4 linked regions of the Yarrowia lipolytica genome follow. The protein of the gene in region 4 binds, or shares a complex with, the protein of the main gene of each other region. Links are inferred from orthologs where the notes say so. Each region holds a gene or a part of one and is shown on either strand. Other genes may lie near its edges. The genes, in order: YALI1_E12067g, YALI1_B08627g, YALI1_D27297g and YALI1_E36866g.

Evidence for each region.
Region 1: YALI1_E36866g (region 4) and YALI1_E12067g share a complex: the UniProt entries of both Schizosaccharomyces pombe proteins name them as parts of the mitochondrial small ribosomal subunit. The link is inferred for Yarrowia lipolytica from reciprocal best matches to the Schizosaccharomyces pombe genes mrps8 and mrps16.
Region 2: YALI1_E36866g (region 4) and YALI1_B08627g share a complex: the UniProt entries of both Schizosaccharomyces pombe proteins name them as parts of the mitochondrial small ribosomal subunit. The link is inferred for Yarrowia lipolytica from reciprocal best matches to the Schizosaccharomyces pombe genes mrps8 and sws2.
Region 3: YALI1_E36866g (region 4) and YALI1_D27297g share a complex: the UniProt entries of both Schizosaccharomyces pombe proteins name them as parts of the mitochondrial small ribosomal subunit. The link is inferred for Yarrowia lipolytica from reciprocal best matches to the Schizosaccharomyces pombe genes mrps8 and mrp2.

The regions. Positions count from the first base shown.
Region 1 is NC_090774.1:1,205,132-1,207,555, forward strand, and holds YALI1_E12067g (mitochondrial 37S ribosomal protein bS16m), read left to right. Parts: upstream 1-1,588; coding exon 1,589-1,909; downstream 1,910-2,424. UniProt on the Schizosaccharomyces pombe protein: Component of the mitochondrial ribosome (mitoribosome), a dedicated translation machinery responsible for the synthesis of mitochondrial genome-encoded proteins, including at least some of the essential transmembrane subunits of the mitochondrial respiratory chain.
Region 2 is NC_090771.1:860,929-864,340, forward strand, and holds YALI1_B08627g (mitochondrial 37S ribosomal protein uS13m), read left to right. Parts: upstream 1-1,786; coding exon 1,787-1,837; intron 1,838-2,477; coding exon 2,478-2,897; downstream 2,898-3,412. Other genes in the region: YALI1_B08616g (uncharacterized protein), read right to left, coding at 234-725. UniProt on the Schizosaccharomyces pombe protein: Component of the mitochondrial ribosome (mitoribosome), a dedicated translation machinery responsible for the synthesis of mitochondrial genome-encoded proteins, including at least some of the essential transmembrane subunits of the mitochondrial respiratory chain.
Region 3 is NC_090773.1:2,728,040-2,731,014, reverse strand, and holds YALI1_D27297g (mitochondrial 37S ribosomal protein uS14m), read right to left. Parts: upstream 1,345-2,975; coding exon 1,072-1,344; intron 568-1,071; coding exon 505-567; downstream 1-504. Other genes in the region: YALI1_D27324g (uncharacterized protein), read left to right, coding at 1-4. UniProt on the Schizosaccharomyces pombe protein: Component of the mitochondrial ribosome (mitoribosome), a dedicated translation machinery responsible for the synthesis of mitochondrial genome-encoded proteins, including at least some of the essential transmembrane subunits of the mitochondrial respiratory chain.
Region 4 is NC_090774.1:3,685,675-3,688,581, reverse strand, and holds YALI1_E36866g (mitochondrial 37S ribosomal protein MRPS8), read left to right. Parts: upstream 1-1,921; coding exon 1,922-2,398; downstream 2,399-2,907. Other genes in the region: YALI1_E36887g (uncharacterized protein), read left to right, coding at 1-1,521; YALI1_E36847g (uncharacterized protein), read right to left, coding at 2,807-2,907. UniProt on the Schizosaccharomyces pombe protein: Component of the mitochondrial ribosome (mitoribosome), a dedicated translation machinery responsible for the synthesis of mitochondrial genome-encoded proteins, including at least some of the essential transmembrane subunits of the mitochondrial respiratory chain.

The sequences.
Region 1 (2,424 bases), about 2.5 Mb from region 4:
TACCGGAATTTGTACTCGCCAGAATCTGAATGATAAATAATGAGACCAGTGATTTATTTTGCATTCCAATTTCCACACGGTTTTTTTTTAATTTTTTCTAATTTTTTCTAATTTTTTCTAATTTTTAATCTTTTTAATAACCTTCAGATAGCCGCTTTAACCGCCGTCGAATGATCGCCGTAATGCACCTAATGTCTAATGATCAGAGCAACGCACAGAGCGATTCAAAACGTACCGGATAGGGAGGTTACGGCCAGCCTCATCACATCACACCAGAAATGTATACCATGACATAAGCCATGTAATGCCAACACACCAGACATGTAGTTGCCATCACAGGCAGACATGTAAATGCCATCCACAAGACATTGTAGTGCCATCAACAGCAACATGTAATTGCCATCACAGACATGGAGTGCCATCACAGACATGTAATGCCTCCACTCTGACCATGGTCTAACCGTGCGGACGCTTGCCACCATCGCCAACGGTCACATGACCCGGCCCACCTTCTAGAAGATCTTCGGTGCAGATCGCTACAGGACAATCCCGAGGTCCACGCCGGCCGGCTTTATATGCGTTAATATCGTTCTTGTAGCGGGAATTAGCCCGTTGAGATCTTCTGCGCGGCTGGAGAGGGCGTCGCACGTGTTCGGGAGCGGATCCGGCTAGGTTTCTGTTGATTTCCTGACATTGTGTGATCATTTATGTAATTTTCGGGATTATTTTTGATTATTTTGATTTTTTTGATTTTTTTTGATTTAATGGAATCAAGGATAATCCAAATAATTCGATAAATCCAAAGAAATCCAAAGAAATCCAAAGAATTCCAAAGAATTCCAAAGAATTCCAAAAGAGGGAAAAAAACCAACAAAAACATCAACAACCAACCCCAAATCAAAATACACGTCACCGTCTTCCATCAATCAACCCGATTCTCTCTTTTCACTCAAATATGCTCCGATCAGCATCTCTATCAAGACAACTTCACAGCCACAATGAGCAAATATCCCTTCTGAATGTGAAACCAAACGTCCTGAAGAAAGAGCCAATTCGAGAGCGATCTAAGAAAGGTAGAAAACAGCTGAGGCCCGGAAATATATCTGCAATCGGCCCAAAATCAACCAAAACCACCCCAAACCCCCCATAACCTGTTTTCTACCACCCCAAACCGCCAAAAAACCCCCGTGACACCCCTGACACCCTCCAACCTGCTCTCCAACCACCCACAACCCTCCTCCCCTACCCGGCCATGTCTCACGATCACCGTTGAAGATCGTTGTGGCTCCCAAGCCCAAACTGAAGATGGACGGAACAAAGCCCACCAAACTCGTCGACGATCCAGCACGTGCCAATGCAATGCAATCACGTGACCAGACAATATAGCCGCCGCCTGCAATCTCGAAATCAACTCCAGATCAAAAATTAAACAAGAAATCTGCCCCAGTCGAAAATCGAACCGCGGACCAAATATTTGCTTACTCAGCAAACCTTAAGAAGCCCTTACCCTGACATGATGCAAAATGGCATGTAAAATTGTGTCTCCAGACGCACCGTGAAAAAACCCACCGACACTTATCATCTCATCATGAAGGGAGGAATCAGAATTCGACTGGCGCGATTTGGCCGACGACACTCGCCCCTGTACAACATTGTGGTGGCCAAGGCCGGCCAGCGACGAGACGGTTTGCCCATCGAGGTGATTGGCACATACAACCCCATTCCTGCCCCCCGGTCGCACGAGGAGCTCAAGAGAGGCGTGCTGCCGGTGAAGGACGTCGAGTTGGACTTTGATCGAGCAAAGTACTGGATTGGAACCGGTGCCCAGCCGTCGGACACTGCCACCCGGATCCTGATGCTGGCTGGCGTGCTTCCTGAGGACTGGAAGGGAGTCGACAAGAAGCAGTAGGTGGTCTGGGGGGTGTCCGAGAGTGAGAAGCATTGATTTGTGTTGTTGCATTGTGGTGGAAGCAAACGGTGCAGACACAGACACAAAAGGGCTCAGATCAGACACAACACAATCACACTATCACACGGACAAAAAGAGACAGACCAAAAGAGACAGACACAAACGCGAACGGAGTGTGACTGTGAGGGATGGTTGATCCGACGAGAAGCAGATTCGGACCAATCAGGAATCTTGTACATAGATAATGGATGTTTAGTTGAGTTGAGGTGGCTGAAGACGAGTAGTGTGATGGAGGTGCGTGAAAGGGTTAAGCGGTGGTGTCGAGTGGATCTGGAGCGGGCTAGAGCGGATCTGGAGCGGATCTGGAGCGGATCTGGAGAGGATGTGGGACACCGGTGGAATGAGAGAGAGGAGGGGAGTCAGAAGAAGGTCTGACGAATATCGAGGGTAGGTTCAAACAGGGGGAGTTGGGAAGCGAGGTAAAACGGTCAGTTGCGATCGCATTACATTGAAAG
Region 2 (3,412 bases), on a different chromosome or scaffold from region 4:
TGCTCCGGCACTGCCTCGTAGACTTGCACGTTCACCTCTTCAAGTCCCTTCCACTCAACGATGGCTACAAGTAGCTGGTCTATCTATAACTCATATATTACCATCACGTGAGTGGGCTGTAGCGTTCTGTACATATTTTAGCACGGAGCATTGTGATCATCAGTGCTTTACGTGAGCGTAACATGTGACCCACTTTCTGTGAAAAAAATGATTTGTCACACTCACGGTCCATCTCACCGTTTTTTCTGGCTCAACACGGCGCCCAGAACAGCAGCTCCCACCGCAATGACTCCTCCCACAATAGCAATTCCAATCATGCCCTCCTTGGCCAGCTTGTCCTCGATGATCTGACGCAGCTTGGCGCTCTGGGGGTCATCGGGCTCGATCTGCAGCAACAGGTCGCAGTATTTCCGAGCATCTGTGTATTCGCCAAGCTTGTAGGAGCCGATGGCAAGGTAGTAGAGGCACTCTCGACGTCGAGAGGGCGTGTCCTTGTACACCTGGGCCAGGATCTGCACTCCCAGCTGCTGGTCCTCGACCTTTCGAGACTTGATCAGACCCCAGGCATAGTTGAAGCGGGTCTGCACCGAGACAAAGTCGCCCTCGTTGTTGTACTGTTGAGAAAGAACGTAGAGCTCTTCGTCCGAGAGCGGAGACTCGATATCGACGAGGTCTGTGTTAGAACGGAAGTGGCTGCAGTCCGGGGAGTTGGGGGTAGGTGTCATGTGACAGGGTTGTTGGAGGTAGATCCAACGGAGTAGAGCAAGCAGGTAAGGAGTTCTAAAAACTGGTATCAATGAGATGTAGAAAGTGCAGTAACGTATCGACGGTCTCAGTTGCGTCTTTGGCCATGGTTTGTAGAGGACCACTGTAGGCAGCGCCGATTCAACCAGCACCAATGTAAAGTCAACACTGATTGAATCAACACCGAATACTATATGAACCTCCGCCACGCCGCCTCCACTGCCTCAGAGAATATCCTTGAAAACAACTAAATTGACCACTCAAAATTTGGAACCAACACGTCATAGACAAGTCCAACCAACCGCTCCACTCCATCACTTTCACCCACCAATCGGCGCAAACATGGGTATCTCAGGACTCATCTCAGCTGTCGTTTCAGCTGTCGTCTCAGTTGTCGTTCCAAATCGCTTGTCACCCTAACCCCTCAAACACCCTCCCCTCGCCTCAATTCCCTAACCCGGCTCTCCATCAATACTCACTGGGCAAATAGTCCTCCTTCTTCATGGTTGTGTATGGCGGATAGTACATGTGTGCGGGATCGAATATGTAGGGTTGCTGCAGTGGCGAGTCACGTGAGCGAACTTTAACGAAAATTAAACGGAGTCACAAAACCGGCACACAAAGAGCCTTCAGAATGTTTGATAACTCGGTCGCAGGTCGATATCACTAGACTAGGGACCAGGCATTATCCGCCCCCGTGGCGCTAACGAGCTTAGTCATCACGGAGTTAGCATAAAACCTTATTTCGATATGTGCAACCTTATCGTTGTTGGCCAATGAGAGTGCTGTTTTTTAAAAACCGCAATACCGCTTCCCGGCAGAGTGACCAGAGAGCACGTGTGTTGAGCGTTCTGATGAACACAAAAACCGCGTTCAAACGGCGGTATTTCCCTCCCCACTTCCTACATCTCAGGGTTAGGGTAGGGTTAGGGCGGATGCAGAACCTGTACTATATCAAAAGTCTGGGATAGGGTTTGTTCTTGTGGGAGGTCCTGACTAAGCGCAAATTTCACACACATCACCAAACACACATACAGCAAAAATGGTGGTTCATATTATGGGAAAGCGGTTCCAGAACACCTGGAAGGTTTCTGTGAGTATTTCACGGGTGACATGGAGCGGGTGATGACTTGTTCGGAAAAGATGGAGCCACAAATGACCGAGAACGCGATGGATCAAACTGTGAGATTTTGTCATGTGGACATGTTGAGCTGATAAGAGCTTAGGCGGATGGGAGAAGGACGGGAGAGTGACTAATGATGGGGTTTCGGCGGCGACAAGTGATTTACCGACTTTCAGCTTTCGCAAGTAGGTGAGAGAGAAGAACTGGTGTGATGATATGAACGTCACACATCCGACATGTACGTGACACGGGCTTGTGCAAACGGCAGTATTGACAATTGAGGACGGTTTACAAGGTGTTCCGAGACTCAAACTGTCGTTTAGTCTTGTTTTCGAGACTTTTGGCCCAAAAGAGAGTGATACCATCAACCAACAAATAACGTGTACCCAGGATACGTACATGGACGAAAAAGAGTGGATAGACGGCCTATCTACATCTAAGATCTGGTATTCAGCGCAGGTTAAGACCGATGAACACTGATTTTTCCAACCAAAAGCATCAGATCTTACACCTTACATGTCGACACCCACCATCCTTCCCGAGTGGCGGATTCCACCTGCTTTCTTCAGTTTTGCTCTATTCTCCCCTGCCTCGTGACATACTAACTCAGTACGGACTGTCTCAGCAAGTGTTCGGCGTGGGTCCGTTCCAGGCCAAGCGGCTATGTGCCAAGATTGGCCTGTATCCTGGCATGCGAATGGGCGAGCTCACCCAGGGCGACATCATGGCAATTGTCAAGGAGCTGTCAACCAATGTGACCATCGAGTCCGACCTGGCCAAGAAGATCAACGCCGACATTGAGCGAAAGCGAAAGACCGGCTCGTACGTCGGTCGACGACACGTCATGGGTATGCCCGTCAAGGGCCAGAAGACTCGAACCAACGGAAAGAACGCCCGACGGTTCAACCGAGTGCCCCGACGACACTTTGGCTCCGTTTCCGAAGCTCTCGGCTCACTGGCCAACGAGTACAAGGCTGCCCCTGGAGCCGAGGCCAAGGGCATCATGGGATTCCTATCCAAGTTTTGGTAATGTATATAGTCTGACCGAGGTTAAAAAATGAAATGTTTGAACGCAAGCGACAAAGTTCCACACTGGTGGCACCGTCAGATAGTCGTCTACGAGGCGATGTCAAGTTACAGGTTTGTCGTATGTCAATCCAACAAAAGTGTAAACTACTGTAGACTCCCAACTAAAATGTTAACTAGACTCAAGTACTAAATCTCCAAATGTCAAGTAATTAAACATAAGTTTGTCGCAACTAACAAACAAGGGTGTAACACCAATAAAAAATCATACGACGTGTTTTTGAAACCACCTGCCTCGCTTTTCTCTACTAGTCCAACCACAGTTTGTGTTTTTCCACGATTCTTGTCATCGCCTTGCTTTTTTTTTGCTGTTTTTTGCTTTTTTTTTTTTTTTTTTTTTTTTTGTGCGGCTCTGAAAAAATTAAGCTCCGTCGTAACGTCAGACTAAAACGACCTTTGATCCACCCACCCCACAAGACAACGCAGCTTTCGGCTAAGCCATTACAACAGCATACAACT
Region 3 (2,975 bases), on a different chromosome or scaffold from region 4:
GTAAGTCAAGCGTTGCATCGGGTGTGGCATTTTCGAGAGTAGCGAGAAATTGATACTGTTCGAGGGACTTTTTGGAGGGATTCGTTCGAGAAACCTGTTCGAGGGACCTTGACGAGGGACCTGTTGGAGGAATAGTGCAACATATTGACGCTCGTCAGTCATGTCTTACTATCACCCTAACAGTCTCTCTGTTTGACTATCTCTGTCATCGAGTGATGAAACTTGCAGTTCCTAATCCATGGACCCAGACTCCGAGTACCTGTCTACAGTCCATGTCGTGAGAATATAACAATATACGAGTTTGTGGGTATAGCTCCGCGAAGAACGAGTGCTTGATACTGGATGCACGTACTATTACATACAGACGGTTCTTTTCAAAGATGCAGAATGTTAGCTGAGTATCGATAAACCCCTTTCCAATCCGATAATGTAGTATTCGACCGTCTACTGTATTTGTCCATCTACACCGCTCAGGTTCGACTAAAATTGATATGTACATGATATTTACCACGAGGCCTTTCGGACACCGGGCAGCTCTCCGCTGAGGGCCTTGTTTCGGAATGCGGTCTGGGTTAGCTTTGAAAGGACAGTAGAACAGGAGAGAAGGGAGTAAGGGGAGTAAGGAGTGAGAATAGCGTAGAGAGGTTGAGAGAAGCAAAACACAATGCAGCCAGTAAGTCGATAAGTCGGTAAAACCGTCTGTAAGGCAGTTGGTAAGACAGTGTCCAATCCAATAACTCGTGGAATAAGTCCAGAAAAAATACCGATCAAATCACAACGCATCAAACAGCAGCAATCAGCATAAAAAGACGACAGACGAAACCAACATGATGGTCTATTGCTGCACTTATGGTCTACTGCTGCACTTATGGTCTCTCTGCTGCACTTCCTACCGTTCGATGTGCACTGTCACTCATTCCAATCGCCGACATCCCGGTCATGGGCTATCTCATTCAAGATGGTGCGGTTCATTTCCCATCCCCGTTCGCGGGGCTCATTCTCCCCAACTGTAGTCATTCCCACTCCTCATTCTTCACTCAGACCTTTGGTCTTCGCTTCGGTTGTACTCACTCGACACAGCTTGAACTCCTTGATAATACCCTTGGATCTTCCGGTCTCGACACATCGGGGCTTTGCCGCGTGGATGTTAGAAAAGACGGGCATGGAGGTGAGCTGGAGATGGGCCTGGATCCGCTGCTTCATGGGCAGAGTGGTGTTCTGCGAAATCGACTTGAGGGCCCGTCGGTTAATCTCCTGCTGGGCAGACACGTGCCGGATGGCGTTATCCTTGAGCACCTTGGCGTCGATGTAGCACGACGGCGTCTTGAACTTGGGCAGTCGCATTTTGGTTGTGCGGTGTGTGAAGCGAGTGAATTTGAAATTTGAAATTTGATATGCAAACTTTCTCGCCTAGTGGGGAGTTGCTGACTACGCCAACGATCGGTTGTATAAAAACGTAAAAATATCAGAAAAGCCATACTACTGCAATGTTACCAACTCCAGCCATATTTTGTATTTGTATATATATATATGTAGATTTTTCTCACCATAGAAACGCTCTTCATATCCGTCATGATTCCTGTTGGGAGACGGTGATGTCGACTTACAGGACACATCTTACCCTGACTAAGCTGACGAACTGTAATAAGTATATATTTATTTAGTTATTTTATAAGAGCTAATTCGAATATTGTAAGGATAGTAAAGTGTCGTCTCACAAAAATATATATAAAGACGTTAGAAATTATTCGTGAACAAAAATACCCTGTCAGGTGACATTATTAGTCAGTGTAACCATTATCACAGGTTACGACCTTTTATAGCGGGGAATAAGACCCTCTTCGTAACTACAACTACGGGTGCTCGTACGTATTGTAGAGCAAACAACACTCTGAATAAATTGAAACAACGACTGAATTGTCCAGTTTTCATTACCCCACTCAAAGGAAGTCACACGACTTCCAATCATACCCCAGATCGGAGTTTGAGACACATTTTCGGAGCAAAATGCAATAAAGATTTTGTCTCAAGAGGACGATTCAAGTCGGGGAAAATCGGGGAGAATCGGGTAAAATCAGGGAAAATCGGGGAAAAAGGCAATAAACAAACCAGACCTACATAATCGGACTATTTGATGTCAATTATCCACTCCAAACCCATCTCAACACGTGGAAATACCTCAAATTCCTGCAAGTACAGCACATACAGTAGTCCACTTGCGTCTCGGTGCATGCATAGATGTGCCCGGTTTAGGAGCAAGTTTTGATTCGACAAGGTATACAGAAGCTTACGTCAGCAGGTAGTCGTAAGCGGGCCCCTCTTGTTATTGTCACGTGACCTGCCGGGGGGCCGCAGCTTGATAATGGTGAATCCTTTGTCTCTTGTTTGCTTCTTTTGAAATTAGCCATTTATTTCAGACCAATTTCGGGCTTGGAGGATTATTAGGTTACATTTTCGAGAGTTTAAAGAGACGGTGGGGAGTGTCGGAAACGAGGTTTGAAGAGTATTGATTGGCGAAATGTGGGATTATTGGGCTATTCTCAGGTCAGAGTATATTTATTTCCAGTTTCGGCATTTAAATAGCAATTTTTTCCTCATTTTTCCTCATTTTTCCTCAATTTCTCCGCCGTCATTTCCGTCCCACTTTTTCGATTCTACTTTATTGTAATTGTACTTTTAATTTATTTACCTTCAGGGATGGTGCATTCCGTTTGCAGTAGATGTTCGGAATTTTTGACGGTGGCTGATTACAAGGGATTAGGTGGAATGGCTACATGGGACATTACATTGCGAGGAGGCTGATTCTAGCGACAGTAGCCGGTTGCAACTTGCGTGAAGATGCTCCTCTTCAACACAATGCCAGAGTCTGATGGTGCTCGAGTACATACTCGTAATGTTGCAATGTAGATGCGTAATTACGTCTCTACGAACCGTTCAAGAGGAATGCTTGTAGCGTTCAAGAGGAGTATACATAG
Region 4 (2,907 bases):
CCCGCTGCCACCATGTTTGTACCGCAACGCCGAAGGCGATCAGCCACAGATTCCGTCCGCAGCGAACGACGCAAACGTAGAGTTGAGGACGACTCTGAGGTGGCGGAAACACAGGCAGCTGTAGGAACAGCAACAGGGGCTACGGCAACAACGACGAATACGGAAACGTCGAGCTCCCCACCTGGTGGAACTCCCCAGGCTGCTGCATCTACTTTAGGAGAGGCTTCCATCGATGCCTCAGAAACACAACCCTTGCTGGAGAACATTCTGGAGGAACCCGAGCCTGCATCCACACGGAATTCGGGTGTGCCGACGGGCGGAATTCCAGGCATGGACATTCCAGGTATGTCGAATGAACGGCAGCCACGTAATCAGTCGGTCATGTTGTCTCGATTGTTGTTTCTGGCCTCTGCCATGACCGCATCTTCGCTTGTGGGCACCGAGTTTGGCTTCCAGAACGGCGGAGGTACCGGATCATCCTCAGACGACTTTGACCGGTTCCTCTCTGGACTTTCGCGAGGTCTGCTCTCACCTGAGATCACTGCTCGTGAACCCTCTGGGGCGGAAGGTGTTCGACCCCTCAACTACTTTCGAATGTTTAGATTCCCTCCGACTGAAGGATCCACGTTTGTTCCTGTGCTTGTGGTCGGAATTAGATCTTCGGAAGATAACGGACAGGGACCCAATGCGGAGATCACCACTGATTCCATGCCGTTTTTCGAAGCAGCCACCTCCAGACCCATTCGTCTGAGTGAACCCACCGACACAGTAGAGTATAACCCTCTTCGCTCGCGCTACGAGCGTGGTAGATCTATCTTGGATCAATTCATGAGCGACTTTGGCCCATCATTCAACAACCCAGATAGACAGGGTAGCACAGACTCGTTGACGGAAATGCCCGACTCGGCATCCACTTACCATACCCCTCTGGCGAGCACGGAACAAGTCGACGATGCCGGTTCTGCATCTGCTTCCGCCATTTCTCCTGCTGTGGCTCCTCATCCTCTCATCCCTGCCACTTCTCCGGCTTCACAGACTGCCCCACCTCTGCCTAGCCTCCCTTCACTGCCTCCTCCGACTGGTGACAACGCCAATGAACCTCGGAATACTCGAGAGTCGCTACGAGAAGCCATCCCCGAGCGCCCCCTGAGACAGTCATGGATCGTCTATGTCTTTGGAGGCACGTACCCTGAAGACCATCCCATTCTCAATGCGGCTTCTCTGTTCACAGATGAACCTACCATGGAGGATCTGTCCCTGTTGGAAAGGCATCTGAGCCCCATGAAGAACCATCTGGCTACCCAGGAGGACGTGGAGCAGGCTGGAGGATTGTCGACGGTGAAAGAGTTCATCGAGGGCGAAAAATGCCCTATTTGCATGACGGATTACGAAAAGGGCGACGTGTGTCGGCAGCTCAATAAGTGCCATCACGAGTTCCACAAGGACTGTGTGGATCATTGGCTCCTGACTGGATGCAACTCGTGTCCCATGTGTCGAGGCGAGGGAGTTGCCAGGGCTTAAGTAGGGGTAGCATTTAGACATTACTTAATGTAACGAATTATGAGTGAGTCAAACAATAGTATTTGGTCGTATTGCAGAACTGGTAAAATTTAGTTGAGTTTAGTTGAGTTTAGTTGAGTTTAGTTGGAATTATCTAGAAGTATTTAAGTATAGGGATTGACGTGAAGATAACAGGACCTGACATTGAAGAAATGAGCAATTAAAAATTATAACAAGTTTGTTGTATGTCTGAATCATACATTATCAAGTATTTTTCATACTCATTTTTATATCAGATCATCTCATACTGGACAGCTTTTCCTACCACTGATCACACAGTACACTATCGAAATAAAGTTTTGGGTATGAGTTGCAAATTTCAACCTCCAACTTTCATCTCACCACACATCACCAGCACGACATGCCTCTTTTGCACGCCTCCAACCTCTGTGCGCACCTGCAGAACGTTGCACGAGTGGGCCGACCCCTCACATCCATTCCTCACAACAAGCTCAACCTGCAAATTGCCCTGGGTCTCTACCGTGAGGGTTTCCTTTCCGGCGTGCAGCGAGGAGACATTTACGGCCCTGATGCTGTCTACACAGAAACAACCCCCCAGAACGTGGCATCGCGACGGCTGTGGATCGAGCTCAAGTATCGACAGAACCAGCCCGTTCTCAACAGCCTGAAGCTGGTCTCCAAGCCTAGTAGACGAATGGTGCTGACCACCGAGGAGCTGCGACAGCTACAGCTTGGACGAAAGGTCAAGTTCGTCAACCCTCCCAAGATTGGTGAGGTCATTCTTATCAAGACTCCCGGAAAGGACGGAAATGTCATCGACCTCAACGAGGCCTGCCGACGATTCCTCGGCGGGGAGGTCATCCTTCGAGCCTCTTAAGCCCAATGAAAATGTACATAGTAAATGATTGGTTCTAGGTGTGTGTGCATTAAAGCGCATCGGTTTAGGTCTGTGCGAGTAGTCTTGGTATGAGTAGTACCTCTGTCGTTGGATCCCGTAGATGTCGTAGATTGTTGGATGTTCAGGATACTGGGCGGTTAGCGGTATGGCACAATACCTGCCATAGAAGCTTCATAATTACGTGAAGCGTGATCCAGCATCAGCTAAGATAAGGCAAGGTCAACTATGTCTATACATTTCCCCAGGCGCTCCTATTACACGCCATGGTCTTACTGTACATGCCGTCGTGTAATGTCTTATTTGTTGTCATATAAAAATTCATGTAAATATAAGTTGTGGGTATGGTGGATACTTCATAGGCACGATCAACGCATCTCGTCATGTTCCCTACAAAGTAACAACGCTGCCAATACCCTGGCTTCGCCATTGTCGCAGATCAACCTGCCATCCGGTCCACTTGCCAATAGCCTGTCGGGCGTTAGAAACAT